Caenorhabditis elegans: one gene and its partners. The protein of the gene in region 2 purifies or fractionates together with the protein of the main gene of each other region. This does not show direct contact. Each region holds a gene or a part of one and is shown on either strand. Other genes may lie near its edges.

What was found.
Region 1: the proteins of zen-4 (region 2) and swsn-4 purify together in Caenorhabditis elegans (affinity purification with mass spectrometry, with the first as the bait; one large-scale study listed by BioGRID). This does not show direct contact.
Region 3: the proteins of zen-4 (region 2) and tlf-1 purify together in Caenorhabditis elegans (affinity purification with mass spectrometry, with the first as the bait; one large-scale study listed by BioGRID). This does not show direct contact.
Region 4: the proteins of zen-4 (region 2) and ruvb-1 purify together in Caenorhabditis elegans (affinity purification with mass spectrometry, with the first as the bait; one large-scale study listed by BioGRID). This does not show direct contact.

The regions. Positions count from the first base shown.
Region 1 is NC_003282.8:11,123,756-11,132,407, reverse strand, and holds swsn-4 (SWI/SNF chromatin remodeling complex core catalytic subunit swsn-4), read right to left. Parts: upstream 6,385-8,652; 5' UTR 6,335-6,384; coding exon 5,879-6,334; intron 5,832-5,878; coding exon 5,607-5,831; intron 5,560-5,606; coding exon 5,333-5,559; intron 5,286-5,332; coding exon 4,493-5,285; intron 4,445-4,492; coding exon 2,795-4,444; intron 2,751-2,794; coding exon 2,244-2,750; intron 2,199-2,243; coding exon 1,713-2,198; intron 1,665-1,712; coding exon 1,584-1,664; 3' UTR 1,246-1,583; downstream 1-1,245. Other genes in the region: ard-1 (3-hydroxyacyl-CoA dehydrogenase type-2), read right to left, coding at 1-67, 850-1,008, 1,092-1,115; Meiotic recombination protein spo-11, read left to right, coding at 7,673-7,720, 7,766-7,935, 7,986-8,220, 8,265-8,361, 8,409-8,636.
Region 2 is NC_003282.8:6,116,622-6,123,489, reverse strand, and holds zen-4 (Kinesin-like protein), read right to left. Parts: upstream 5,276-6,868; 5' UTR 5,267-5,275; coding exon 4,824-5,266; intron 4,778-4,823; coding exon 4,529-4,777; intron 4,487-4,528; coding exon 4,181-4,486; intron 4,127-4,180; coding exon 3,877-4,126; intron 3,825-3,876; coding exon 3,642-3,824; intron 3,597-3,641; coding exon 2,874-3,596; intron 2,818-2,873; coding exon 2,731-2,817; coding exon of another isoform or gene 2,647-2,730; exon of another isoform or gene 2,591-2,646; coding exon 2,468-2,590; 3' UTR 2,393-2,467; exon of another isoform or gene 2,147-2,392; coding exon of another isoform or gene 2,054-2,146; 3' UTR 1,713-2,053; downstream 1-1,712. Other genes in the region: M03D4.4 (C2H2-type domain-containing protein), read left to right, coding at 1-121, 168-628, 1,266-1,370.
Region 3 is NC_003279.8:8,695,950-8,703,669, reverse strand, and holds tlf-1 (TATA box-binding protein-like 1), read left to right. Parts: upstream 1-1,696; 5' UTR 1,697-1,712; coding exon 1,713-1,750; intron 1,751-1,826; coding exon 1,827-1,953; intron 1,954-2,032; coding exon 2,033-2,143; intron 2,144-2,247; coding exon 2,248-2,329; intron 2,330-2,795; coding exon 2,796-2,911; intron 2,912-3,170; coding exon 3,171-3,407; intron 3,408-3,454; coding exon 3,455-3,550; intron 3,551-3,596; coding exon 3,597-3,875; intron 3,876-4,785; coding exon 4,786-5,102; intron 5,103-5,154; coding exon 5,155-5,221; intron 5,222-5,297; coding exon 5,298-5,354; 3' UTR 5,355-6,008; downstream 6,009-7,720. Other genes in the region: cdk-8 (Cyclin-dependent kinase 8), read right to left, coding at 2-123, 170-305, 355-451, 503-690, 815-1,054, 1,104-1,108; F39H11.1 (Craniofacial development protein 1), read right to left, coding at 6,170-6,304, 6,354-6,516, 6,592-6,636, 6,684-6,916, 6,965-7,063; pbs-7 (Proteasome subunit beta), read left to right, coding at 7,378-7,409, 7,456-7,561, 7,613-7,720. UniProt on the Caenorhabditis elegans protein: May be a general transcription factor. Plays an essential role for RNA polymerase II/ama-1 transcription in early embryos whereby it activates a subset of RNA polymerase II promoters and facilitates the reestablishment of transcription after mitosis.
Region 4 is NC_003283.11:9,977,079-9,982,771, reverse strand, and holds ruvb-1 (RuvB-like 1), read left to right. Parts: upstream 1-1,969; 5' UTR 1,970-2,075; coding exon 2,076-2,141; intron 2,142-2,188; coding exon 2,189-2,284; intron 2,285-2,361; coding exon 2,362-3,073; intron 3,074-3,130; coding exon 3,131-3,588; intron 3,589-3,637; coding exon 3,638-3,736; 3' UTR 3,737-3,981; downstream 3,982-5,693. Other genes in the region: tofu-1 (Schlafen-like protein 1), read right to left, coding at 97-652, 707-1,031, 1,084-1,288, 1,336-1,371. UniProt on the Caenorhabditis elegans protein: Possesses single-stranded DNA-stimulated ATPase and ATP dependent DNA helicase (3' to 5') activity suggesting a role in nuclear processes such as recombination and transcription.

The DNA of each region.
Region 1 (8,652 bases), 5.0 Mb from region 2:
CATCGAGGCGACCATATTCAGCTTGAACTTTGGCAAAAGCTGCTCTCACTTCTTCTTCGGATGTTACCTGAAATTTATGAAACGTTTGTTTTTTAATGAGAAAATACAATAATAAATTATGTTATTACGGGAGCACTAAATTCGGAGAATGCGTATAGAACCACATATTTGACGCGCAAAATATCTTGTAGCGAAAACTACAGTAGTTCTTTAAATGACTACTGTAGCTCTTGTATCAATTTCAGGGTTGGTTTTTTTCCAAATTAGTTAAAATCAATTTAATTATTTAATTTAAGAAAAAATGAAGGAAAATCTAATATCACTGTCACTATTCGAGAATAAATTCATTTCGAAAATCGATCCCGTAAATCGGCACAAGAGCTACAGTAGTCATTTAAACAATTACTGTAGTTTTCGCTACAAGATATTTTGCGCGTCAAATATGTTGCAAAATACGCATTCTCAGAATTTTGTGTTATCGTAATATTTGAAGCGTAAAACTTTGTAAAATACTAATGTATGTGCGCCTTTAAAAAGTACTGTAATTTTACAGTACTCTTAAAATTGAAAATGCTGTGGAATTTTTATCGACTTTTCGTAGTTTTTTATCATGATTTGTTGAATAAAATTGATGTGCTTTCAATTTTTAATTCTTAATTTAAAAAACGATGAGAATTTCATGAAAATTCAGTACTAACGAAATTTTGAAATAACAGTACTCTTTAAAGGCACACACTCGTTTCTATTTTACAAAAAAGGGCGTGTCGAGACAGAGATCGCAAAATTGGCGTCTGGGTAATATTTTACTTGAAGTTTCTCTTTACAAATGTAGCATGAAATCATTGTTACCGAAGCTGGTGTAAAGATTCCTCCGATCTCCTTCGCAACATCGGCTCCTTTTGACTGTGGAAGATCAAGAATAGCGACCTGTGCACCAGCCTTTGCCAAAACTTCGGCAGCACCCTTTCCCAGTCCAGACGCTCCGCCAGTGACGAGAGCAACGAGACCCTGAGAAGATAGAACGTAGGGTTTTCAGATAACACTTTCAATTTTGGAGCAAGTATTCAACCTTTTCAAGCTCTTAAACTCACCTTAGTGCTTCTGAGTGCCGACATTTGTTCCCGTTTACCTAAATCATAAGTGTGTTTGATTAAACATTCAAAATCTCGAACTAAGACGGAAAGTATTTAATAAAAGAAATCGCAACGAAATTCGAAAATAATTCTTGATAACAAAAGCATATTTCTCTCGAAATGTTTATAAAATTAAATTTTTCTTTAAAATAGTTGACGAATAGTATGGATTAAAAGTGGAATATGGGTTAAATACAATGCTTAATGCTTTTGTTTCAGGGATTTTTTCCTGCAAACGTGTAGCTTGCGACAGAAAAGAGAAGTAGAGATAAACAGTAAAAAAGCGATGAGAGATAACTGTGAAGCAGGAGAGATAAGAATGGGGGAACGAGGTGGGACATATTTATGGTGACAGCTCAAAAAATCAGAAATCATAGAACATGAAGAATACACAAACAGAGAATAAATGTTTATGGGGACATGAAAATATTTGGAGCAGACTAGTTTTGATCACTCGTCGTCTTCTTCTTCCTCATCCTCGTTCGAGAAGCGGCGAGTTGGACGAGACTTTCGACGGCTTGATGCTGGTTCCTGGAAATTAAATATTAGACTTAAAGACATTAAAAAAGTTCAAGTAACCTTCTTTTGTCCAATGATCTCCTCTTCTTCATCTTCTTCCATTGGGTCTTCACTATCTTCCGATTCCTTCTTCTTTTTCGGTGGTGGTGCACTTGCAGACGATGTTGATGGTTCATCATCTTTCTTAGCTTCCTCGGTCTTTACAGAAGACGAAGTTTCTTTTTTCTCGTCCTTTTTGGGGGTTACTTTAGTTGAAGCTTGTGCACGTTGAGCTAGCATAGCCGACTGCATATATTGAAGCATTAGGGCTTGATTTCCACCGGTCTGTGTCATCAATGCCTGTTGAAACTGCTGAGCCTGTGCGGGTGGAAGTGATTGCATATGTGTCATAAGCATTAACATTTGCTGAGCAGTTGCCTGTTGTGTCCGCTGAAGATCTGACACACTTGGAGTGCCACTGGTTGAGGGACGAGAAGATGAAGTTGATGGGGTTGAAGGTTCTTTCTTCTTGACTGGTTCTTCTACTGGCTTCGGTGGATTCATAAACTGAAAAAGTAATGTAAACTTCGAAATTTCAAAAATCAATCATACCTTATCGTATTGTTCCTTCCACAATTTTCCGATTGTTTCAGAGCTAACATAAATCTCACTGCCTTCTTCGTTGTATGTTTGAGCATTGTTCACAAGCAAATTCATATCATCATTCAATTCTTCCATAACCGTATAACGTCCTGTTTCGATCTTTTTGTTGATTCGATCGAAATCCATTGGTTTGGAAATCACTTGATAATAGTCCGGCAGTTCTTTACGAGTTGGAAGTGTCTGGAATACATCCGCGATGAGTTCTCCATCCTCATTTTTATATTCTAGAATAACATCAAGCATTTCATTGATTTTTTCTGCCAATTCTGGATCCGTCTTCTTCTTCTTGTGTTGTAGAACAACGTCATCCATAGAATCATCATTCTCGTCCAATCCAGCCATTTTACGTTTTCTTTGCTTTTTACGTTCAGCCACAGCTTGATTATTTTCATCCTCAACTTCCTCAACTTGTTTCATGAACTGTTCATCGGACAAAAGATCGGAAGAGTAGTCGACCTGAAAATGAATTAATATTGTAAATTCTCTTATATATTCCTTACCTCTCTTCTGCGTCTTCTCTGATTAGGAGTTTGATCAACAACTTCACGACCTTCCTCTCTGGCTCGTTCCATTTCCTCATAATCGAATGACAATTTGAGAATATCGTCTGGAATTTCATGTTCTTCTAGAAGACGGGGTTTACGGTGAAGTTGATTAGCTTCTTCACGACGACGATCAATATCCATCGATTGGAAGATATTAAATTCTTCCTCTGAGCGAGCAACCATCTGATTCACAGTTTCATCATCTGGAACTTCCTCTTCTTCTTCCTCTTCTCCGTCTGCTTGAATAATTTGTTCGAGCATTTGCTTTCTTTCAGCTCCAGTTGAACGTTGATCGAACTTTCCTGCTTGAATAACTTTCTCGTCGACATTCAACTTGTAGCGAGCAGCGGCAAGAATTTTCTCTTCAACAGAGTTAGCTGTGATGAGACGAAGAACTCGAACTTCTTTCTTTTGTCCGATACGATGTGCACGATCTTGAGCCTGCATATCCTGATGAGGATTCCAATCCGAATCAAAGATAATAACAGTATCAGCAGTTTGCAAATTGAGTCCAAGACCTCCAGCTCTTGTAGAAAGCATGAAAAGGAACAAATCACTGTTAGGAGCATTAAACTGTGTCAGCAGATCTCCACGCTCGTCTGGTTTAGTTGAACCGTCTAAACGGAGGTACGTGTATCTTCGGAAATTCAAAAAGTCTTCGAAAATGTTCATCATAGACGTCATCTGGAAGAACATCAGAATTCGATGACCTGTTGCCTTTAGTTTCGGTAGAATACGATCGAGAAGTTCCAACTTTCCAGCAACACGCATTAGATCGGTTCCATTGACTTCGTTGACCTTCCAGTATGCACGGCAGGAATCTTCAATATTAGGGAAAAGGAACGGGTGATTGCAAAGCTTGCGAAGATGCACGACAGTGTTCATCAACGAACGTGCTCCAGATGACATTTTAGCGTCGAGAAGCAATCCTTTCTGCATATGACGATAAATAACCTTTTGCAAAGCAGACTGGTCACACTTGATGACATACTCGGTCTTGTCAGGAAGCTGTGATTCTACTTCCTTTTTGAGACGTCTCAGCAAGAATGGACGAAGAACCTTGTGCAGTCTTCTGATGATGAGCATCGTCTCTTCTTGATTCAGTTCTACTTTCTCTCCTGTAGTCGCAAATGGAGCATTGAACCATTGTTCGAAAGTTCCACAAGATGAGAAGATCGATGGAAGTAAGAAGTTCAGCAGAGCCCATAGCTCAGGAAGTTTGTTCTGAAGTGGAGTACCAGTAAGAAGTAAACGATGCTGAGCATGGAAGAATCCGTTCAACATCAATGTCAATTTACAATTGTGATTCTTCAAACGATGTCCTTCGTCGATTATCATATACTTCCAACGGATTTTACCAAGCAGTGCTTTCTCTTTGATCACATATTCATATGTTGTCATCAAAACGTTGAACGCTCCTTTTCTGATTTGTCCTTCAACACGACGACGAGCATCTTTAGTTCCTTTATAGATGATAGTGGTTACAGATGGAGCCCATTTAGCAAATTCGTTCTGCCAATTGGACAACGTGGAGAGCGGTACGATGACAAGATATGGTCCATTGTTTTGTTTGACTTCCATCAAATACGTCACCAACGAGATTGTCTGAAAATTAAAAATTGATTAATATTTCCTCATTTCCCAAATTCCTACCTGAATAGTTTTTCCTAGACCCATTTCGTCGGCGAGGATACCGTTCAGATTGTTGTTGTATAAGGAGACCATCCATTCCAATCCCTTAATCTGATACGGTTTCAGCAGAAGATTCGGATCACCACCACCCATCGTTGTGTGTTGCTTGACAACCTTTTCTTTGATTTTGTGAGCAGTTGCATAGTAATCAGCCATTTGCTTTTTCGTTTTCTGATCATATTCATCCTCTTCGTTACGTGCCTTCTCGAGGATCATCTTAGCTTTTGTCTCTTCATCCATTCCAGCGTACTGATCATCCTTCTCTTCTTCTGGTTCCACTGGAGCCTCTTCCTCTTCCTCTTCTTCGTCATCACTAAGCTGATCACGTGGAACTATCTCATATTCTGGATGAGTTTCAAGCCAAAACTCAATTTCTTCAGTCTTTGGAGCTTGATCTCCAGTAAGCGCTTTTCCAGTGCTTCTCTCCCGAACGTGAACCCTGGCTTCCTCATCCATTTGATTTCCTTTTTCAATTTTCTTATCTTCCTTCTTCTTTTTCTTTTCGGTATTTTGATGTTGACGAACAAGTGAGCACAGAGAGTCGACGTACTCATCGGTTTGTTGAAGAAGATACACAAGACGTTGATCTTTCTTCTCATCAAGAAGAGCACGATATCCTTCTTCATCTTCTTGCATCAGTTTTTGCATACGAAGTTTTTCATTTCGAATCTCGTCCTTCTTGCGTTCACGTTCATTGTTTTGATGATATGTCATGACTGCCTTGCGAGACTTTGCCATTTTCAGAAGATTGTTTCTGAAAATAATTTAATTAGTAGGAGAACTTTCTAAATACAATCTCACCTATGATACTCCTTGAATTCCTTTCCATGCTGAATGATAGCTTGCATCAAATCAGTATGCTTCTGCCTTCTCTTTCTTTCTTGCTCCATCTTTTGTTGCTTCTCAAGCTTTTCGGTAACACGAGCTTCGCGTAAAGATTGCCGCTTTGTGCGTCGATACGCATATGGATTGAGTGCAGTTTCGAGAGTTGTGTCTCTTTTGAGACAAGCCATCACTTCACTGCGCACCTAAAAACAGCTTATTGGTTAAAATACTCTTCGAATCCAGAAATTACCTGAGTTTGGAGATTGACAAGACGTAAAGCACGCAATTCGATTTCTGCTTTCAATTTCATGTGATCTGGAATGTCGGCGGGTAAGTTATTGAGTAGCTTCATGCGTAGCCCGATTCTGTTTTGAATCATATTTTCTCTTTGCTTGAGCATGCCAACAGGATCAATTCCTGATGGAACAGAAATTGTTGTTGGACGATTACAGCGTATTTGATGGAGATTGAAAATCTGTAAAAAAGTAGACTGTATAGTTTCATTCGATCCATTTTACCTACCTTCATCAAATCATACGGCAACTTTTCTCCATTCTCTGCCTCTCCTGGATATTCATAAGGTTCAGGCAACAAAGTTGTAACTTTTGGTCGGAGCATGACAGCATCCGCAATCAAGTTGGCCGGTACTTGTTCATTTCGAGCCAAAAGACGATAGGCTGACACTTGAGCCCTCAGTTGATTGAGTTGTGCTGGGGTAATTTGTTGATTCCCGCCATTTTCCTGTCCTGGAACGGCGTCTGGGAGACCAGATTGGAGTTTTTGCTTCAAAAGAACTGCTTTGGCGTGTCGATGGTCATTCTGAAGACCTTGTTCCTCCATTGAAGTTATCGCATTTTCCAGTTTGGAAATTGTCAGCTCTTGGCCTTGAGCTCCATCACCAGCTTGCTGAGCAACAACTTCACCGGCTGGTTGCGGTGGTTGAGCAGTAAACTGCTCAAACGCCGGCCTTCCGCTCATTCTTCAAAATTCCAGCAATTTGATACACTATCTTCTTTCAAATTGATAGTCTGAAACAATTATTAATTCAGAATTTTAGATTCAATTGAACATTCAAGATAAACAAAAAGTATTGCGGTAATAGTATATAAGCGAATTTCAGAAGAAGCCTGCGTGAATAATAAAACCGAGGACAATATATAGACTTTCCATCCATCCTAGTGCAAAAAGAGTAGGACTGATGGAACCGAGAAATAGCGTGCAAGTGAAAGAGAGATGTAGTGTATTGCAGGACACAACTTTCGGCGCGCATTCAAAATTTCTAGCGCATATAAAACACGGAGAACTCTTCGGGGGCCCTTTGTGAGCTAGTGAGATAAGAAAAGCTAAGAAAAAACTAAAAGATTGACGATTTCTAAAGATTGTGAAAAAATCGATAAGTAGTGACGTGTACGAATCGACTTTTCATGAATCCTGAGAGGTTTTTTCGTTTTCCAACGACGTATAAGTGTATACTGATAACTAGTATCGCTTGATATCGTGAAATTCGTCTGAAAACCGAGAAAATCCATGAAAAATGGTCTAAATTGTGTGTTAGACTAAGCAGCTGGGGAAGAAGAAGGTTTGAATGTATGCAGTGGACGCGCCGAGCGTCGATTGGCCAGAGAGGCAAAGTGAGGAGAAACACTATTGGAAATGGAGAGACGCAGACACTCTGCATGTCTGCCTGCATTGGAAACGGGCCATTGCGGCGGAGAGGACAAATGAATGGGAAAAGAGACAAGAAAAGAAGGAATAGTGGAAAATACAAGAAGACTACGGTAGATATAGACCATATCAGAGCTTCATTATGACTATTTGAATAAAGTATTTGAAGGAAATTTAATATAGCAAAAATATTTCAGCGCAACAACATTTAATGCTAGTTTAAGAAAAAAATGAATACTATACATAAATTTTATATTCTATAAAAATCTTCTTCGACTGCGACGAAATGAATGGTGCAGTCATTCGCTTCAAAATTGCATTTAAGCTGTGGTTTTTCGGCAGGGATTGAGAAAAACCGAGTTATATTTAAGAAATGCATTTTAAAATATTTTTTGAAGAAAAATGTCAATTTAAGAATATAGAAAAGAAGATCGAACATTGAGACTCGTCGGCGCCGAGTATTAAAAATCTGACGAAAATTACAGTACTACTCCGATTCGCTGCGGGACCCGTGCTTTATTTTCACGTATGGTCCTTTCGATTATTGACTTTTTGTATCTTGCAGCTGGAGCCTTATTAGCTTGCGTCCAAGTTTTATCAAAGTTTTATTCCATTTTATCTGTATTTTTGTTCTACTAATTAGTTTAAAGCATGTATGAATATTCTTTCAACCCAAATATCGATCATGAGCCCGGATCTGTAAGCTTAATATTGCTGATTCAAATCTAATTTTGCAATTTTCAGGTAGAATCTCAACAATCCACTATTTATTCGGATTCTGATGATTCTGATGACAGTTTTCTTGACGATGAAGTAATACCACCGAAGGAACAAGCTATGAGAAAAATTGAATTCGCTCTTGCAGATATTAAAAGGCAAATGGATAACAAAGAGAAATCGTTGACTTTGAGAATGTAATAAGTTCCTGTTGAAAATGTTTGAGTAATTTTGTTTTTTTTTTCAGATCGACTAGTAAATCACATTTTTGCCTTCGTTATACAGCAAAGAGGAAAGGAAAATTGGATAGAGATTTGCACTGTCTTCACCAAGTTTATGATTTGCTCGAAAATGACAAAAGATCAACGAAAAGAGAATTGTATTATGAACATAAAGCAGTTTATGGAAACCAGAAATATTTAGACAGTTCAATAAAATCAATTTGTGAGCTTTTGAATGAAAGTCGGGCTAATTTAAACATTGTCAGTGTGACATTAATAAACAAGAAATAATTTCCAAATTTCAGCTCTCTTGTGGACGCGGGATAATTCGTGGAGCAATTACTTTTTTAGTTGAGAATGTTGGTGTAATTGATGCGAGAGTTCAAGAAGTTTTGATCACAGGTAAGGTAATAAAAAACATTTAAAAATGATCAACGCTGGTGTTTCAGATGCACTGTTATTTTCGAATATAATATCAGAAGCCGATTTCATACTTGTTGTTGAGAAAGACACAACTTTTCAAAAATTAATGGATGAAAATTTTCAAGCAATGTTTCCACGTGGGATTCTAGCAACTTCGAAAGGATATCCGGATATTGCAACTCGAAATGTTCTGAAAATGTTGAGTGAAAAAAGAAAATTTCCAATATACGGACTGTTTGACGCTGATCCGCATGGTGAATTTTTAATAAA
Region 2 (6,868 bases):
AACGCATTGAACACACTTTTGGTTAAGCAGCACGAGAATATTCTGAATAATAATAATAATAATGAAAGTAATATTTTGAATGGAAGTGTGATGCATAAGGATGCTGGGTTCGAGATTCCAGGTACAGGAAACCTTTTATAAAAATAAAGAAACTTCCCATTTTTCAGCTCCAACAATTCCACTCAGCTTAACATGTATGATCTGCAAATCTCAATTCAATAGTCAACCATCCTTTACACTTCACATGTACATGCACCATATTGCGAATCAAAATCCAAATTTATCGATTGATTCCACCCATATCCATCATACTCATCAACCTACAACAATCAGCCATCAAAATGATCCAACTCCTCTTGGATCGGACTCTGATCTAGCCACTGATACATCATGTGCTTCAAGTCCTCAAAAGACATCACCACTTCAGCTTCTCGAGTCATCATGTCTCGAACAAAGCTCAGTGAGCCCGTCGAGTTCTTCTGGAGCTTCACCTCAACCAACTGCTTCGGAATCTTCAACGTCTTCGTGTAAAGACTGTACGAATAGTTGGCAGAGAGTTCATGATTTGGAGCAGCAAATGGTGAAGAAGGATGAGGAGTTTGAGAATTATAAGCAAATGACTAAACAGGTTGGTTTTTGCAAAGTTTTTTGAATTACCTGATTTTAAAAAAATCGATTTTGTTTGGTTAAAAAATCTTGCGACTTTTTTGAAACAAAAAACTTTAAAATATGTATATTATGAGAACGTATGTACATAGAAAAAGGTTTGACATCAGAAGATTTTTTTGAAATCGAGAAGAAAACGCGCTCCATGGCCAGTTGTAAAAGCTCCGCCCCCGAACTATTGGTCTCGTTAGGTACATATTTGGCGATAAAACCGTATTTTTAGTCAATTTTAAAGTTTTCATTTGTTTTAAAAAGTTCGTTATTCTGGGTTTACGGGAAAATAGCCAACGAGACCCATCGTTTGGGGGGATTAGCGGTTGAGCGCGTTTACACGTCGATTTCAAAAATGGATGTTTTCTGCGTCTCAATAATATATTTAAAACGTTCCCAGAATTTTTTTAACCGACCAAACTTCTGGAAAATCTTTAAAATAGTCCGACAAATTATTGTCTTGCAAACTTTTGCAAAGAAATTAAACTGGAGAGAAGAAAGTTAATAGCAATTTTTGAAAAAAACGGTGCGGCACGCTTGCAAATTTCATGCCAGACTTGCGGAAAATATTTCAAAATTTCCACTGTTTCAACGAATGTATATTTCAGATCATCGCAAATGTTTCCAATTTCTTGACAAATACAGCAACACCGGATAATATGTTCATGATGAATGCAGTAAATGTATTCACTCATCTTAAAAATACTCTCTAGGCAATTAATTTTCACCGATTTTCTTTTTTTTTTCTCATATTTCTCTCACCACGTGGTTTCTGATCTTGTCTCTCGCCTGGCTTTTCCCAATTTAACTTTAATTTTAAAAAATTAAATCTCTCTGATAATCAATATTTCTGACCTCTTTTTCATGATAATCCCTTTTTATTTTTCGATTGAATTATTTTTTGAAATACCAACCAAAAAATCAAAAAACGCGTATTAAATCATAATTATTTGTATAAAACCGTGCCTTTTTCCCACCATTTTCTATGTAACCCTCGACCTAAATCGGGTCTTATTTATTGAGATTCATTTTTTTGAACGAAAATAAAAGCTAACTTATTTTCATATTTTATATTCTTTGAGTTTAATTAAAATTAAAATACAAAAGCATTTACTAGTACACAAATCATCGTCGGGAATAAAAATGAACAGAGTTCTTCAGATCGATATCAAAAAATTGTGCGTAGAAGGAGAAAAAGACGAAGAAGTGAAAGATCATAAAAATGCGGTGAGGTCTACAAAAAAACAAGAGTTCTCTTCGAGTTCGGAAAATGGGATTATGAATGAGAAACATAATAAATTAATAAATATTTGGAGAAAATTTGAAGAGTATGGTACAAATTTGACATGAAAATGCAGCAGGATGGAGGTAAAAAGATCAAAGACGGCACTTATAATTACTTTCGTGTGCTCGGAGATTCGTGAGTGAGTCTCTCGATATCGTTGAAGAACACGGCAGTGCCACCGGAAACTGTTGGAATTACATTTCCCTGAAAAATTCGAGATGAGCAACAGATGAGAAAGTGGAACACAAAAATAAATGTATTTTTAAAGTTATATGACCTAAAACATTACATGAAAAACTGAAATTAAATGCATATAGAACTAGCACTAAATTAGTTAATTTTAAGCATGAAATTTTAACTCAAAAAGTATATATCAAGCAAATTCAGGCAGTTTTCTCAAGCACTACTAAAACAGTATCTAAAATAGCCAATAAACAATCAAAAACATACAACAAACACATAAAAATGTAAAAAGAGCAGCTTCATCTTCTCATTCCCCCAGCAAACATTCATTTCAAATAATTCTCATTCATCTTCTTCTTCAACATCATGATTAGAGTATATCGTTATCGATTTTACATCCGTACACGGTGAATACGAACTGCTTTGCGAGTCTTCCAGTTGAAGTTCTGGTGGTTTAGATGGTGCCTGTTAGAATGCGTTACGTGTGTGCTTTGTGAGAAGAAAAGACGGACAGTTTTGTATCAGGAAAGATGGGTGATAAGGACACGGGAAAACGACAACGGGACGGTACAGGCGTGTTTTTGGGTGGAAACCAAGGAATTTACCTTCACTATATTCGTGCTAATGTTTCCTTCATCGTCAACTTCTTGATGCGTGAGACGGTATTCTCCGGATTTGTTCAACTGATGCATCTGGAAAACAATTGAATTACAATAAAATTGCGGAATTTATTAATGTTTTTTCCTACCTCAGGTTTAGTAGTCCGTATGGCGTTAGCCGGTGTACGAGACTGAAGAACCGTTCCTGTTGGAACTCGATGAAGTGGCTGATGATCCAATAGACGAGATGCAGACTTGGATCTTCTTTGATATTTTGGATTAACGTAACCCTGTTGACCACTTCCTCCACTTGAAGATCCAGACATTACAGTGGTCGATGTAGTGGCTTCTAACCGTTTTTTGAAGACTGGAGCACGTCCTGGAGTTTGATATGGCGGTGGTGGAGTTTGGATTGGAGCTGTTGGATGAGCCACATTCTCTTGATCAAATCGTGATCGAAGAGAAGCAACAGACGGGGATGGATTATCAATAATTCCACGAACATTTCTCATCGCCTTCTTCTGTGACTGAATAATCTTCCTGTCCTCCATTTTTTGTTCCATAAGCTTTTCCATAACCAGAGCATTCTCTTGCTCTCCTTGCTCACACGAGGCAATTCGTTCCTTCATCGAAGCGTTCTCACGCTTATATCTTGAGCAGAAACCTCGAAGCTTCTTGATTTCTTCATCCTTGTCGTTTAGAGAATCTTTGAGACGTGCAATCTCTACTCGCTGGTAGTCTGCTTCCATCATGTATTGGCGAATCATAGTAAGAAGAGTTGAAGATGGTCCCTCTTCTGATGAATTTTGAAGAGATGAAAGTTTCCGAGCATACTTATACATGGAATCTACCGTATCTTTGTCATTGCAATCCTGGAAACAATTTGTTCAAAACCATTCAATTTGTGAAATTCTTACTGTCAAACAGAATGTCGGTGGGCACGGAATTTCTCTACTTCCATCATCCTCCATACGAACAGATCCATCTAGCTCAGAATTCCATTGGGTGAAGAATGAATGAGGAATCCGCTCGGATGGCATTCGTTCAACTTGCTTTTTCACTTCAATTGTTTGTGATTCTTCAGCGAAAGCTAGAGCACTCTGAAAGTTACGAATTTAAATAATTAGTAAATTCTTTGAATTCTGAACGAACCATGTTTTCATCGTAATCATCAGGCTTTGGATTCACACAAATAACCATTCTGATTTTTCCATTTCCTTCCAGATAGTTTTTGAATAAATGAGTCAATTTTGACTGGCGATATGGAACTTGCTCAAGGTTTTGTGAGGAACTCTTTTGGTTACGACGGAGTACTTCAATACACTGACGAAGAGTCATGAGGGACTGATTGATCGAGTTGGCTTCCGCAAGACGTTCACCAACATTCTGTGTGCGCTTTGCTCTAAAATTTTTCTCATTAAACATATATATTTCAGTTTACAACAAAAAAACAAACCTCTCAGATCCAGCCAAATCTACCAAACATAACTGCGAAACGATAATTTGCGATGAGTCCATTGTTGGATACACGCTTTTCGTCTCGTAGGCTCTCGGAGCCATAACCAATTTGATAGTGAATACGGAATGAGAACGGGATGAATCTTTGTTGAGAAGAGTGGACGATACACGACGACGTTCTTCTCCAAGGCAGAACACTTCGAGAGCTTCCTCGCTTGACGAGACTTCAACATCTTTGGCTCCGTCGACGTACATCTGTTGCTGACGATCATGACGAATTTCACGCTTCGTCAATACTCTGGAACTAGCGGAGGGTCACTATCAATTATTGCTCGATTTTTCTTACCCATTTCTGGCGTCTTCCAACAAATCGTAGCAATAATTGTTGTAGATTTCGACGTAGGTTACGAAAACCGAGCAAACCATATCGTCGTTGTAGCCTGACAGCTTTATAGCTTCACAGTAACGATCAGTGATTTCGCGTGATGTGGAAAGACGGTCTGCAGCCATTTGATGGCGTTTCAAGTGAGCATCCAATGTGGCACGGATCTCGAATGTATTCAGTGCTGATGGATAGAAGATGCATTTCTCAACTCTGGAAGAAAATAATATTATTTGCTTTTTTCGTTTCAAAAGCTTACCGATTATTAATACTATTGAAAATTACATCCAATGTACGCGGCAGTAGTCCTGTGCCGGTTTCAGTGGGTTTTCCCGTCATTGTATACGTTTTTCCAGATCCAGTAACTCCATAAGTGAATAACAACGAATTCTGACCTTTCAATAGGTTTAAAATTAAATCAACAGATGTCCGCTCAAAAACAGTAGCTTGTCCATCATTTTCCGAAAAAACTCGTCCAAATCTAAACACTTTCTCAACTTGTGGAGCGTTTTCGCGTCTGAACTGTGCTGGTGGAAGAACAGTTTGAATAGATCCCTCATCAATTGCAATAAGACTTGGAGTCGAGCCAGTATATGGACAAAGACGACAAACGACTTCGATACTGTCGGTTTCTTCAATCGATAACTTCTTCCGGCGGACTTGGTCTCGCGATGGAGTTATTCCTCGTTTACGCGACGACATTTTCTGAAATGAATTGAATTAAATAAAACAAGTTTTGTTATATTGATTTACAAAAACGGTTTTATTCCAAAAAACCGTGAAAAAATAACAAATTTCGAAGAAAAATCAACAAAAACAAGTCAAAGCAAACATGTGAGAACGGTTAGAATTCAAACTGGCGGCGGAGGGGGAGGGTGCGCAGTGAGACCAGCCACGCAGATAAATCTATGCGCCTTTAATACCTATGTCTGCGTCTCTCACACAAGGCAGCGAGAGTGGTACTCTTGTAATATTGCGGTGGCACTCGCTAGCTCGCGTTTTGTCCGCCGCCACCGTGTGCTATGGGCCTTCCTTCAGTGCGGGGAGTTGAGACTGTAATGGGTTCCGAAAGGATGAAAATCCTCAAAGTTCCTGATGTGGCCGCATCAAAGCACAGGTCGGATATGATTGTAGTGAGATATAATAAAAATCATTTAAAGACATAAAAATAAACACATAATACATAGGAAGATTAATAAAAAACATACGAATAAGTTACAAACAAGGAAATTAATTATCATCTGTAAAAGTTGAGGTGCCAATATAAGATTCGTTTTGCTAATTTTTAATAGAACTTTATATTCTTTTTGTGAAAAAGTGTCTTCGTAGTTTGGTTTTGTATTTCCCCCAGATTAACTTGGTTTTGGTTCTGGTTTTGTAGTTTTTGTCTATTTTTAAAAATTGGTCAGTGTCAATGTCAACTTTGTGTACTCTATCTCTATCAATTTTTAAGAGCCAAATGTACACAATAAGTTCTGCTGATTTCATAGTGAATAAATTTCTAGAAAAAAAAAACATGATATACCACAGTGCCAGTAGCCCAACAGTACAAAGAAAACATGTGAAGTTCACTAGAATATTCTACATTTGTTTACTTCTAGAATTATAATACTATAAAAATTAATTTTCAAGTCGTAGTAAAAAATCATTAGTAAAAGATAAAACGTAGTAAAAGAGCCAATTGTAGTACAAGATCAAGTAGTAAAACAGTATTTGCCAAAAAATTCAAATAACAGAAAAAGGGCATCCTTGGTGTTCAATCCAAGCGAGCAATGAATTCGGAGCAGTTCTGAATTTGGAAAAAATGTGCCAATTTGTTGAAAAATAATTCTTTCCACAGCAATTTCGAAGTTTATTTTTTAAAACCGTCCTTAAAAATCTCAGTGTTTTCCATTTCAGACTCAAGATTCCGTTTCAGATAAATCACGTCATGACGTATCTGAAAAGAGAAGGGCGACACATTAAGATTCAAAAATCGTCTGAATTCTTGCACTCGCATTAAATTATTTATAAGCTTCTTATATCTCTGATCATCAATCAAATGGGGTTCCCAGGATTTTAATTCTTGATTCGTTTTTTTTTTGCGAGGAGCAATGAGTGGGCGCAGCCGAATCGGGGAAGCCAAATTGTTGAAGATGCTCCCCAAATTATGAAACGTTTAAACAGGATTAAACATTCTATTACGGGCACACTAAATTCTGAGAATGCGTATTGAGCAACATATCTTACGCGCAAAATGTCTTGTAGCGAAAACTACAGTAATTTTTTTAAATGTCGATTTACGGGCGGAAAGTTCGAAACAAA
Region 3 (7,720 bases), on a different chromosome or scaffold from region 2:
CCTTTTCACTTGATCATAGTGATATGGATTTTGTGCCTTGATGTCTTCCTCTTTACAGAAAAATAATGGTTCAGCGGTAAGAAGTTCGGCAAAAATGCATCCGATAGCCCATACGTCAATAGCCTGAGATTATGCATTTTTTCCTTATTAAATAGATTTTTCAACGTACCTTTGTATAATGCTTTGCTCCGAGAAGCAATTCAGGTGCTCTGTACCAGAATGTGACAACTACTGGATCTAATTCAGCCATCGGTTTCAGAGGATTTGCATAGATTCTTGAAAATCCCAAATCAGCAATTTTTACCCTAGAATTATTATTTCATATTATCGCATAAATTTCAAATTCAGTCAAACCTTCCTCTCATGTCAGGTGGTCCATCACCCATTAATAGAATATTTGCTGGTTTGAGATCTCGATGTAGTACCCAGTTTGAATGTAAATAATGCATTCCTGAATATTTTAAAATACAGTTGAGTGAAATTGGATTTTAGAATTTCAAACCTGATAAAATTTGAAACAATATATTTTTGACCATATTCCGTGGCACCATAATTGGGACTTTCTTGCTTTTAGCTGTTCGATGATGTTTGATAACGTGCCAGAGATCGTGTTCAGCATAATCCAATAAAAGCCAGACTTTTTTTTCGTTGGTAAGAAATACACGTTGAAGACAGATTAAATTCGGATGCCTGAAACATTTTTTTTTTTTGAATATCTACTTCAGTTTTTTTTTCGAATTTTAGATTATAAAAAGGGGAAAATCTCGAATTCAATCTTCATTTTAAATTAATATTATTTAATCGGTGAAATTACCTTAATTCTCTGAATAGAGCAATTTCTCTGCATGCAGACATTGAAAATCCTTGTCCCTCAATCATTTTTAATGCGTATTCTTTGTTAGGAAATTGTCCATTTTGCTTTTTCGGAACTGCTTTATAAACTAATCCATATGTTCCTCTGCCGATTTCTTTTGAATTTTCAAAGTAGAAAAGGTCTTCTACTCTCTCTCGACGCTGTGCCAATTGTTTTTTGAAGTTTTCATCAATCATTAATCTGCAATAGGGATTTTCTGATTTATTTATAGTGCAAATTTCCAACTTACGTCATTTTTCAGTTACTACAGCGAATACTACTCAGTCTTTATGCCAGGAAAATCGATGTCCAGAAAAACGAAAATTAAAATTGAAGTGTACGGTAAGGAAGTCCGCAAACACTGCACCCACGTACTAAACACCAAATATCACGACATCTTCGTCGGTCTTCGTTTTCTAGCACTTTTTCTTGTGGCAAATTCTCGCCGAACGTCACTTCTTCTTCCCAAAGAACACAGCGTTAAGACTGAAAAATCAATAAATTAACTAATCAATAAATGCCACATGTCTAACAGACAAATAACTAGGAGGAATGCACATTCAGAGAGGATACTCTGGTTTGGCAGCGAATAACGCTTTCAATCGATCCTGTAACCGCGTTTGCCTCAAATCAGTTTAGAATGAACAAACCGAATATTGTATTTTGGATATTATTTTGTCTGAATTTAAAATAAACTGGTCGTCGGAAATAAATATTTCTTAACTTTTCCAGAATTTTCTAACATAAATCAAAAAATTCTTATGTTCTCACGAAGTCTCGCTCTCTCGTTGTTGCAGATTTTAGCATTTGTCGAGTTTTCAAAAGATAACAACTCAAATTTACAGGCCGATCAGTTCAAATGCAAATGGGTGATCATCAAATGATGGGAAACCAGAGGTATGAGTTGAATTAAAAAATAGCTTGTTCAGTTTTAGTTATTTGGATCAAGAAATCCAATAACAACACTCGAAAGATATTACAGAACTTACGTTCAAAAAGTGATGCCTGCACAAGCTGGTGGTGCAGTATCACAAAATGCCACGTATGTGCAAACGGCAGGAATTCGAACGGTTCATCACGACGGAAACGGACAGCAGAGGGTGAGATTTTGAAGAATATAATCAAATTTTGTTCGAGACAAGACATATGCTTGAATTTATGAATTAAAGTTTATTTCAGATAGTTCAACTACCCCCGGGAGTACGTCAGATTCAGCAAAATGGTGTCGGTCCTGCCTATGTTCGCCAAGTTCCTGGTGGTCAACCAATGCAAGTAAACTTTGGACATCCAGTAAGTCTTTATTATCAGTTTCTCAATCAACATAACAAATTCTAAGAATTGAAACAAAATTTCAAATTCACGAAACTATTTTAATTTTTCAAAAGAAATTGCAGGGAACGATAGCGGGTCGAAATGTTGCAGTTGGTGTTCAAATGCGACCTGTGCAAGGACATAACGTTCAACAAGGTTATCAGAGTAAGTTTTTAATTTTATTTAGAAAATTGATAGTCAATATTTAATTGATGTTATTCAAAACAAAATATTTTTTTTTTTAAATCGGTTTTATTTCAATTTATTTACGGTCTCCGGATGCCGTGTGTTTTATCAATAGAATACAAGTACTACGTATATCTAGAATCGCGTATATGTTTCTGCAATAATTAATTGTTTTATTGGAATAATATTCTAGACACAAATTAACTCTACATTTACATTTCGAATAACTCGATTTCTGATTTTTGAACGATTGAAGTTTCACATATTTTCCAAAAGGAAAAATTAAATATTGATTAAATTTTCACTGTTTTTGCAAACAAAAAAAAATCGAAAACAATCAAAATAATTCTGGAAAATTTCAAACTCGTGTGTTGGGTCTCACATTACGTGTTGTATAAGACATTCTTGTTTGAAAAACTGAAAAGAGTTTTAAATTTAATTCCAGGACAGCAAGTAGCAAATCAAATTCAACAACAAAATCGAGCTGTATTTATGGCACAAAATCAGCAAGGACAACAACAGATAAGCTATGCGCAAGCACAACATCGACAACAACAACAGGTATGTTTCATGATTATCATTTACTATCATTTACTATATATAAAGCGCGTGTCCTTCTGTCCCTATGTAGTTTGATCTCTGATCAGAGCAACGAAATTTTGGGAAACCTTATGCTAAATGCGCAACAGACATCGATCGAGGTCCGCGATAGACACCGTATATCTAATGTGTTTTCTCAAAAAAGTCGGGGGCCGCGCCGTAGGTGCGGTCCACGGCTGGTTCAGATATATTCACCAAAATTAATCAGAGGATATTACAGAATCAACAACAACACCACCAGCAACCACAACATTTTAATCATCCTTCTCAACAAAATCAAATGATTATGCAACATCGTCAACCACAAATGCACCATAATCAGCAACATCAAATGGTTCAACCACAAATGACACGTCATCAGATGGCCCAACACCATGCTCAGCAGCCACATCCGCAGATTTATGTGCCGCGTGACATGAATTTGGCAGTGCCACTGAGAGAACCCTCACCTGAGCCGGTAACAGATGAATGTACATTTTCATGTTTCATATCTACATTTTTCAGATTCCTGTCAAAATTGAGGTTCCAGATGTTCCTCCAGAAGGTACATCGGCTGCCAATGAGGAACCAATGCCAGATGATGGTGATATCGATATTCAGGTACTTTCTAACAGCAATCAATCATCAAAACTTGAAAATATTCCAGATTCGAAATGTTGTTTGTAATTATACACTCCCTTTGCACATTGATCTTCGAAAATTGGCAATGAACACTCATAACGTGACATATGAAAGAGAAAAAGGAGTAATGATGAAACAAAAAAGATCGCCTGGTTGTTATATCAAAGTATATAGTTCTGGAAAAGTATATATTGTTGGTTGCCGGAGTGAGGCGGATTGTAAACGAGCTGCACGTTCAATTGCCAGACATGTTCAGCGAGTTATGGGAAAAACGAAAGAACGAGTTTCGATTAGAAATTATCGAGCAAGTTTTGAAAAGTTTCAATTTATCTATTAAAAAAATTTATCTATTAAAAAAAAAATATTTAAAAAAAGTTCGCCTTCAAGAAGTACAGTAGCTTCCGCCATTTCCGATTTGTTTTTTTTTCTTTTAAAGATGTTTCATTTTTGTTAAAGTTATTACTTGTAAATTTAAATTAAATTGAAGAAAAGTGTAAAAATGTCAGTCGTGCAAACTAGTGTACTAAAATTATTTGACCGTGTATCGTAGTTTCACCAGATTTTTACATGCCTTTTTAAAGGCGCACGGATTTATTCAGAAAGGTCTCGGCACGCAAAATGTTTATGGTAATCTTTCTTTTTTTTTTGAAGTTTGAACATTTGGAGAGGCACCACGGTTTCAAGATCTGGTGGGGTTCCGGATCTACGTTTTGGTGCCAGATCTGGAAAACGTAGAACCGGAATCCACCAGATCTTGAAACCGTGGTGCCCCCATTTGGAAACAGATTTTTTAACAGAATTTTTTTTTAAAGCTGAAAACCGTGCAGTTTCATTGAAAAACGCAAACATTGAAGAAAAAGACTACAATAAACTTTTTGCGCGTCGAGACCCATCTGAAGAAAGTCGTGAGCCTTTAAAGAGCCATTTCAAAATTTGAAAAAAAAAATTACGATACCACGTAGAGTCAGGTTGTCCCATCACGGTGTGATCTACAATAAGTGCGGGTATTTTTGCTCAGAAAAGTGTGACGTCAGCACATTCTTAACCGTGCGACACCAGTTGGAAACTCTACGTCACGTTTCATTTTTTGTAGATCAGACTGTGATGGGACATTCTGACACCACGCGCGATACCGTTTTTGTGTGTTTGTCAATACCATAAAATTTTGCAACTTTAAAATATTTATCTAATTATTAAGTTTATGTGGAATTTAGGTGAACAACGTTCTGGCCACGTGCCGTCTTCCATTCGGAATCAAAATCGAAGAAGTCGCAGCAAAATATCCATCAGAATCCACATATGAGCCTGAACTTTCCGTTGGTCTTGTTTGGAGATCTGTGACACCAAAAGCTACTCTTCGAATTCATACGACTGGCTCAATTACAGTCACTGGAGCTCAATCGGAAGCCGATGTTCTCGAAGTACTCTCAAAGATCTATCCAATTGTTCTAGAATTCCGATGTCTCGAACGAGCCAAAGGAAATGTCGCTGCTCAGAAGAAGAGGAAACGAAAGGCACCTGTTAACAGAGGGTAAAAATTTGTAAAATTCTGGCTTCAATGTAAAAATAAAATAATTTTTTAGACCACCAATCAAACGCGAACGCTTTGATGACAGCAATTATAGAAATTCTGGAGTTATCAATAACCAGGTATGCAAATAAAAAGTGTTTCGGTGGTTTGAAAATAATACAAATTTAATTTTAAAATAACACATTTTTCTTTCAGGTCTATTTCTCTGATGAAGATGAAGATCTGTATGATGAGCTCGATTTAGAAGAATAGTTGTACCTAATTGATGCAGCCTACCCATTCATTGTAATTTTTAAAAAATCTCAATTTGCAATCATTATCTGATTACCTTTCTACATCATCTCGTCATAATTTCTCTAGTTTTAGCTTTCTATCTTCCAGTATATCTTGTTCTTTCAATTGTTCTGTGTGCTTCAAAATTCATGCTTTATCCGCTTTTTTCCTGTTCTTTTCTTTCTCTGTTTGCCGTTACCATCATCAACATCATAAGTCATCATCGAATCAACACAATCTCCTATCCATTTTTTTGTAAAATTAACACAATGATCAGAAAAACAATTCTCGCTTCCTTCTAGCTCTTTCTCTCTCCACATCCCACTATGTGCTCTCTACTTCATGTCTTCATCATGTTCCCCTCAAGCCCAGCAAATCTTAATTTTTCCTTATTTTCCATTATCTATTTTTCCTCATGAATCCCAGTTTTAAAAACAAGTAGCAGATTTTTTTTTGTTCTGAAACAATTCGCAAAAATTCCACAAAAAGTCCTTAAAAACAAACGAGTTCGTATTATAAAACTGTAACCTACCTTTTCCCAAAGTTGTTGTATTTCATTTTAATTATTTTAGAATGTGATTTTTCTACAATTCCCTTTTCATGATTCATCCTTTTTCTAGATTTAGTTATTGTCTCCCTTTACCATTTTTCTCGTTTTTGTCCATTAAATATGTTCATGATTAAATTTCAATGTCCGTATCTTTACAGAAGGTTTATGAATTTTTCAAAGTTACGAATTGTCAAAGAAACCAGAAAATCACAAAAAAGATTCAATTGAAAAAATAAAGAATTATTTACTGTCCAGTGTCCTTACGAGCTGTTGCACGGAACGCTCGTTCTTTTTCAAACTGGCGATTATCAGCTCGGTTTAAGAAGTCCATTTTGTTCAGATAACCGCCTTTCCCTCGGTTATGAGATTCCAAATCTTCCTGAAAAACAAACAATTTATTCAAAAACCTTAAACTTAAAGAAACATACTTTTAAATTATTTTGCGTCGTAAAATCTTTCCAATCTCGATCAGATTTCTCCAAAACAGAAATTTTAGAACGCTTCGACAGTGATTTTGCAGCATCAAGCAAGCCGACTCTTTTCTTTCCGGGTACAATGCTACTTTCAGACGATGTTCCAGCTGTTTCCGTTCTGAAAAAAATTATTAGAAAAATAAGAAAAAGTTGTTTTTAAATTTGTATCAAATAAAAACTCATGTCAACTCACTTTTTCGGATAAACCTTCTGATTTGTAGACTCGTTGGATGCAGATCTGTAAAATACATTTTTAAAAGTTATTTCTACTTGTTTCAAACATACGCTGCTGATTTTGGATACACCCTTTCTTCAGTTTTTGGAATATTCTTGCTTGATGTATCGTTGACAACTGGTTTCGGTGCTAGCCCAGTTAATTCTGCAAATATCGCATCCACATCAACACTTCCTTCAGTACTGTTTGCCTTTTCTGATGTATGGTCGTCACTTTGTTTTTCATTTTTCAGATGTTCAACTTCTTCGTCAATTCCATCTTCGCATTCTTCTTGATCATCGATCTGTTGAGGAGAATGAGCAATAAAAGGGCGATATCTAGGAATGCTTACTTCATCCTTTGGATCAAAATCGGTATCCTTTGTTGGATCGTAATCTTCATCGGACGATGAGTTGTAGTCTTCTTCGTTATTTTTAAGCTCCGAGGTCATTTTTCTGAAACAATTTATATTTTAAATAGTTTCACAATTTCAGTGAGAATTCAAAAGAATAAAATATGAATTAATATATTTATAAAATATGAATTAATTTATATTATAATATTATCTCAAAAAAAGTAGCGCGAGATAATTTTTCTTATTGAAGTACGCAATTGTGCGTGGTATTCAGTGTAAAATTCGACGGAGCGCACATGCTTTATGATGACTTAGCCGCCATTTTTGCATTTCATTGTCGAAATTCACTTCCTTTCATTTTTTCAAAGCACTCCCTTCAAAAACTTCATTTATATTGTTTCAGAACCAAAATGAATGCTCACGACGAAGTCCAGCGCACACTGTAAGTCATTAAACCTATATTCGTTTGAATTAACTCAATTTTTCAGGAATCCTACTTGTACCGGAACATCGGTTATCGCTCTCCAGTATAAAACTGGGGTTGTTGTCCTTACTGATCGAGTTGTTTCCTATGGAAAAATGGCTCGTTACAAGGTTTGAATTTCCGTTCAGCTGAAAGTGGATTTTCATAATATTTGTTTCCAGAATGTTTCTCGTCAATACAAGGTCAATGATAATGTTCTCATTGCCTTCGGAGGAGATCACGCTGACTTCCACTGGCTTCAAAATGTGATCGAGCGTCAGGTTCTTCTC
Region 4 (5,693 bases), on a different chromosome or scaffold from region 2:
ACAATCAGAAATTGGTACAAAACTTCATGATACAGATATAATGGAGGCGATATTAAGCGAAACAACGAACAAAACAAAAACAGAAGATTAACAACTTCAAACAGATGATTCTAAACGATAGACTTGATTACGGAGTTGTTTCACTCGAATGACAATCAGAAACGTCTCATCCATTTCTTCAACTGGAACGAAGTTCATGTCAACTACGTCGAGAATATTCTCAATTGGAGGTGCAAACTCGGTTTGAACAGCAGTATCCAGAGCAAGACGCAGATTATCTTGTTGACCAGGACCCATGTGGCATCCAGTAACTTTTCCGTCTTTCCCAATACCAAAGAGAACCACGGCGAGACGCTTTGAATTCAATGCATCACGGATTATCTGTTGGATGTCATGTGTCTCCATCAAGTTAATTTCATCCGCACTTCGAATATGAACATCCGTGAATTTGGTTCTGAATTCAATTTTGGCTCCAGCCTTGACAGTTGTTGTCAACTTTCCCAGTGTGATCAATTCTTTCAATGTCTTGTCTTTCTCGTATGCCATGGATACACATGAATCGATCCAGCGTTGATCGTGACGAGCAAATTCGAAACGAGGTGGACGAGACATGATTCCGTTGCGAACGTTGAAGCTGGTTCCATACACATTTCTGGAAGGATGAAGAGTTGAAATAGAAAATATTCAGAAAAGCTTCAAGACCTACTTTTTGGAAGCAAAATCTGGAATATCTTCTACTGATACGGCATGCTCTTCTTCGGTGATGTACTGCATATACTTCTTAAGTGAAGACATGTCGAAAGCATCCTTATTTTTGCATTTCGCATCAGAAGCTTGAGTTTCTGCAGAGGAAGAACTAACAGCTCCAACACTAATACCACTGTCCACATCCTCTAACTCGCTGCGATCGATGATATCAGGTTCAACTGAAGAGTCCAAGTCTTCGAAGAGTCCTTCAATTCGAGAATTCATCTGATCTCCTGCCAATGCTTTTCCAAGAAGAGCATCAAGAAGTGATTCCTCCACTTCGGCTGGAAAATATTTTGTTACAGAAAAAGAGCAAAAAACTATAAAACTGCTCACCTTGACCATCGTGAAGCTCGACAATTACTTCATTTTCGGAAGGGATGTCCACTTCTTCAGAGGATAATTCGTCATCTTCAAGTTCATCCACATTTTCAAGCTCATCATCGTCTTCAAACTCATCGTCGTTTTCAAATTCATCCTCGTTTTCATTTTCTTCGATTTCACTCAAAAAGCCGCTAAAATCTTCTTCATTTTCGGAATCCTAAAATTCTTGAATTATACTTTATTCTTGTTAATCCAGAAACTCACCGAATAAGAATCATTCTCTTCAAAAAGCGCAGCCATTGTTCCAAAAATAACTGAGACAGAATATTCGATTTCGAAGGATTGTCGAGGGAGCAGGATTTGGGACAAATTCCAGATAATTGTCTCAAAGTTGTGCTACCGTACTTTAAAGGTACATTGCTATTTTACATTAACAGGTTCCCGAATGGAATGCCATTTTTAATTTCTTGGGATCTCTATTGGTGATTATACAACTTTCGCAAATTCATTTTATTTAGAAAAGTTACTCTCGGCTTATATTTGACATTTACTTCAAATAAGAATATTATCTCTTTTTCCTCTTTCCCTTCCATTGAGACCCGAAGAACTCGGGGGATGTCCAACTGGGGGGATTACCAACTCGGGGGATTGGCCCCGCCCACAGAACCGTGGCTTGCAATACGCCCATTTCTGCAACTGCCGCACGGTTTTAAAATTATTTTTTCTTGTTAATTCTCGCTCTATTGAGAAAAATACAGTTTTAAAACCGTGCGGCAGTTGCAGAAATGGGCGTAATGCAAGCCACGGTTCTGTGGGCGGGGCCAATCCCCCGAGTTGGTAATCCCCCCAGTTGGACATCCCCCGAGTTCTTCGGGTCTCCTTCCATTGCTGTTTGTCTGCATTTGTGCGTAAAATGAGATGGCTGCACACATTTTCGAATTTTATTTTCTTTCCCTAAATTTCTATTTTTCATTCTATTTTCACGCTGACGCTTTCGTAAAATAATGGATATGGAAGTCGATGAGGCAATATCTGGTACTTCTTCTTCAAGACTTGCACCAATCGAAGAAGTGAGCTAATTTTTGAAAAACCTAGTATTTTAAATCGAATTTTTCAGGTAAAACCAACTCCAAAGCAAATTAAACGCATTGCGGCTCACAGTCACGTCAAGGGACTCGGAATTGACACAGAAACACAAGAAGCTCACTATGAGGTTTCTTTTTCAATTGTCCAATTTCAATAACTACTTATGAAATAAAGCCTATGCTAAATAAAATATTATTTCTACAGGCTGCTGGATTCGTTGGCCAAGCACCCGCCAGAACAGCTGCATCAATTGTAGTTGATATGATTCGATTGAAGTGTATGGCCGGACGAGCTGTATTGATTGCTGGACCACCCGCCACTGGAAAAACTGCAATCGCGCTTGCAATGTCACAGGAGTTGGGTGACGGCGTTCCATTTGTGCCACTTGTTGCAAGCGAGGTCTTTTCCAATGAAGTAAAGAAAACGGAAGTGCTCATGAGAAGTTTCAGAAGAGCTATTGGTCTGCGTGTTAAGGAAACCAAAGATGTGTACGAGGGAGAAGTTACAGAGTTGAGCCCCGTCGAAGCTTCAGATAATTCCGGAATGGGAAAAACCATCTCTCATCTTGTCCTTTCTTTGAAAACAGCAAAAGGAAGCAAGCAACTGAAATTGGATCCAAGCATCTATGACTCGATTTTGAAGCAACGAGTAGAAGTTGGTGATGTCATCTATATTGAAGCGAACTCAGGAATCGTTAAACGAGTTGGACGGTGTGATGTATATGCATCTGAGTTTGACCTCGAGGCTGACGAGTTTGTGCCAATGCCGAAAGGAGATGTTAGAAAGTCTAAAGATATTGTTCAAAACGTGTCTTTGCATGATCTGGATATCGCAAATGCCCGTCCACAAGGACGTCAAGGAGATGTTAGTAACATTGTTTCACAGCTGATGACTCCAAAGAAAACTGAAGTTACTGGTGAGTGATTGATAAACATTAAAACTCGAACCTTTCAATTTTTATTCTGTCTTTTAGATCGTCTTCGTTCTGAAATCAACAAAGTAGTCAACGAATACATTGAAAGTGGAGTGGCTGAACTAATGCCTGGTGTTCTTTTCATCGACGAGGTTCATATGCTTGACGTAGAATGTTTTACCTATCTCTATCGCGCGCTCGAGTCCCCAATGGCACCCGTCGTGGTTTTTGCAACTAACCGTGGAACCACAACAGTTCGTGGACTCGGCGATAAGGCACCACATGGAATTCCTCCAGAAATGCTCGATCGGCTGATGATTATTCCAACGATGAAGTATAACGAAGAAGACATCCGGAAGATTCTCGTTCATCGTACCGAAGCTGAAAATGTTCAATTCGAAGAAAAAGCATTTGATCTTCTAAGTAAAGTTGGAGCTGAAAAATCATTGAGATATGCGTTACAATTGATTGCTCCAGCTCGTCTTTGTGCTCAAACGTGTGGAAGAGAGGTCATTGAAGTAAGTTGCAGAATGTTGTAGTTCATGTATTAAATAAATCGCTATTCAGGTAGAGGACGTGGACCGTTGTACCAAATTGTTCATGGATCGTGGGGAGTCGTTGAAAAAGGCCGAAGAAGAGATGCGACAACCTAAAAATAAGAAGTGATATCCATTCATATCCGCACAACGACTCGGTTTTCCAATTTTGATTTTTCGCCAATTCATTTCTTGTTTTTTAAAATTATTTTTCTTCTTCTACAACTTATCTCATTCCTCTCGATCTTTCCTCAGTTGTTTCCCCACATGTTGAGGATCTTGTTATTTCGTTCCGATAGATCCCCCATTTTGCCCAATTTGTTGTTCGATTCCTATTTTTATACTGTTCCTAAAAAGAAAAAAAACGGTTTCAAGAATTGTTCGTAATGTTCACCAAAGCGGAAGGAGTGCATAGTGCACAGAATCGACAAAGAGGGACCCCGGCAATTCGTAATACGTCTTCTCCACGTCCCTGACGCCGCGGCATTTCCCTTCTTTTTCTCCCGTTTCTCTATCGATTCTGACAGAGCACATAGTCCTCAGCAGTCGTCGTTTCGCTTATTCCTCGCTCTATTCGCCTCCTCTTTGAGAAAACGAAGAAGAAGGGGGAAAGAAAACGAGGACGAAAGGAGAAGACAAACGTCTTCTGGGAGAGCTTTTGCTTGGAGCCCCCCGAGCACAAGAAGTAGACTCGTATGCTCATTTTTGCAAACTTTCTGTGTTTATGTCTCGTTCTCTTTTTTGTTATAGACTTATTAGCAATTTTTATAGACACATTCAGAATATGGAAGTATGGAGTTTTTCAGTTTTCCCATCATTAATTATTAGTAAGGGTGCAAAACAGGGGTGTGCGGCAAATTTGCCGAATTTGCCGAATTTGCCGTTTGCCGAGCTCGGCAAATTTGCCGAATTTGCCGAGCACGGCAAATTTCAAAAAAGTAGATTTGCCGAATTTGCCGAGCTCGGCAAATTTTGAGATTTGCCGCACACCCCTGGTGCAAAAGTACTCGAACCAATAACTTTTCATATGCTAAAAGAGCTTCTAAATTCCACCTGTTTTTTGAATATTCCTTCAAAAACTGCAACATTGACTTACGTTACACATGCTTATATCTTTCAGGCTAAAGATTAAGTAGAAGATTAGAACATATCAGCTTTTGATTATATGACACACTTTTTAGACCAAAAAAGTTACATTCTGTTAGAGGACATACCGCTTGAGTTTGACTATTTACGCAAAGTGAACATTTGTATGGCGAAATGAAGTTAAGAAAGCATTGTTCTTGAAAAGTGTAACTTAGGTCACTGTTTCAAAAAATTACCGACCTAGGTTCCAATAACATGCTACATCAACAGATATCAATACATTTGATTCTTTTAAAATGCCAACAGCTAATTCAAATTTCGAAACAGAACATTGATATTATATATTAGATCGTATTTCATTTTAACGAATCCTTACCTACTGAAAAATGCGTATTCGATGATTTTCCATTATAGCTTTTGTAAATTTACTACTGATATTTTTGATCAAGTGGGATACAACTGCTAAAGTCAACCAAGGGTCTCACGCTTACCGTACTTCTCTATTACACGAAAAAGTTATAGATAATTTTTTCAAAAGATTTTTCAAGTCTGCAAATTCTGATCTTTATTTTGTTCAATTTGTGAATATTCTTTCCCGTCAAAATCAGATTGAGAAAAAAAGGAAAAATTCAGTTAATTCGCAATTTCTCCTTCCCTTTCAGGCCTCTCGCTTTTCCTCCCGTCGTATCTATAATTGAATGTGCTAGTACTACCAATCGGTGTAGTTTTCGAAGAATGGATTCTACTTTTATGGATTTAGAAAACAATATTATTTGCACCATTTTAATAAATAGTCATGCAATTGGGGGCTTACAATTAGAGAATAGACTCGTGAAATATTAAAAAATCACTTATCTCATACATAAGCACTCAAAAGAAAAAGTAGAAGAAGAGTCTTGACATTCAAAATCGTCTCCACTTTCATTTTATTTTCCATATTTTCTTTCCAAACCCTTCCATTCTTTTTTAGGCATGACTCTTCGTATTTTATATGCATAGAA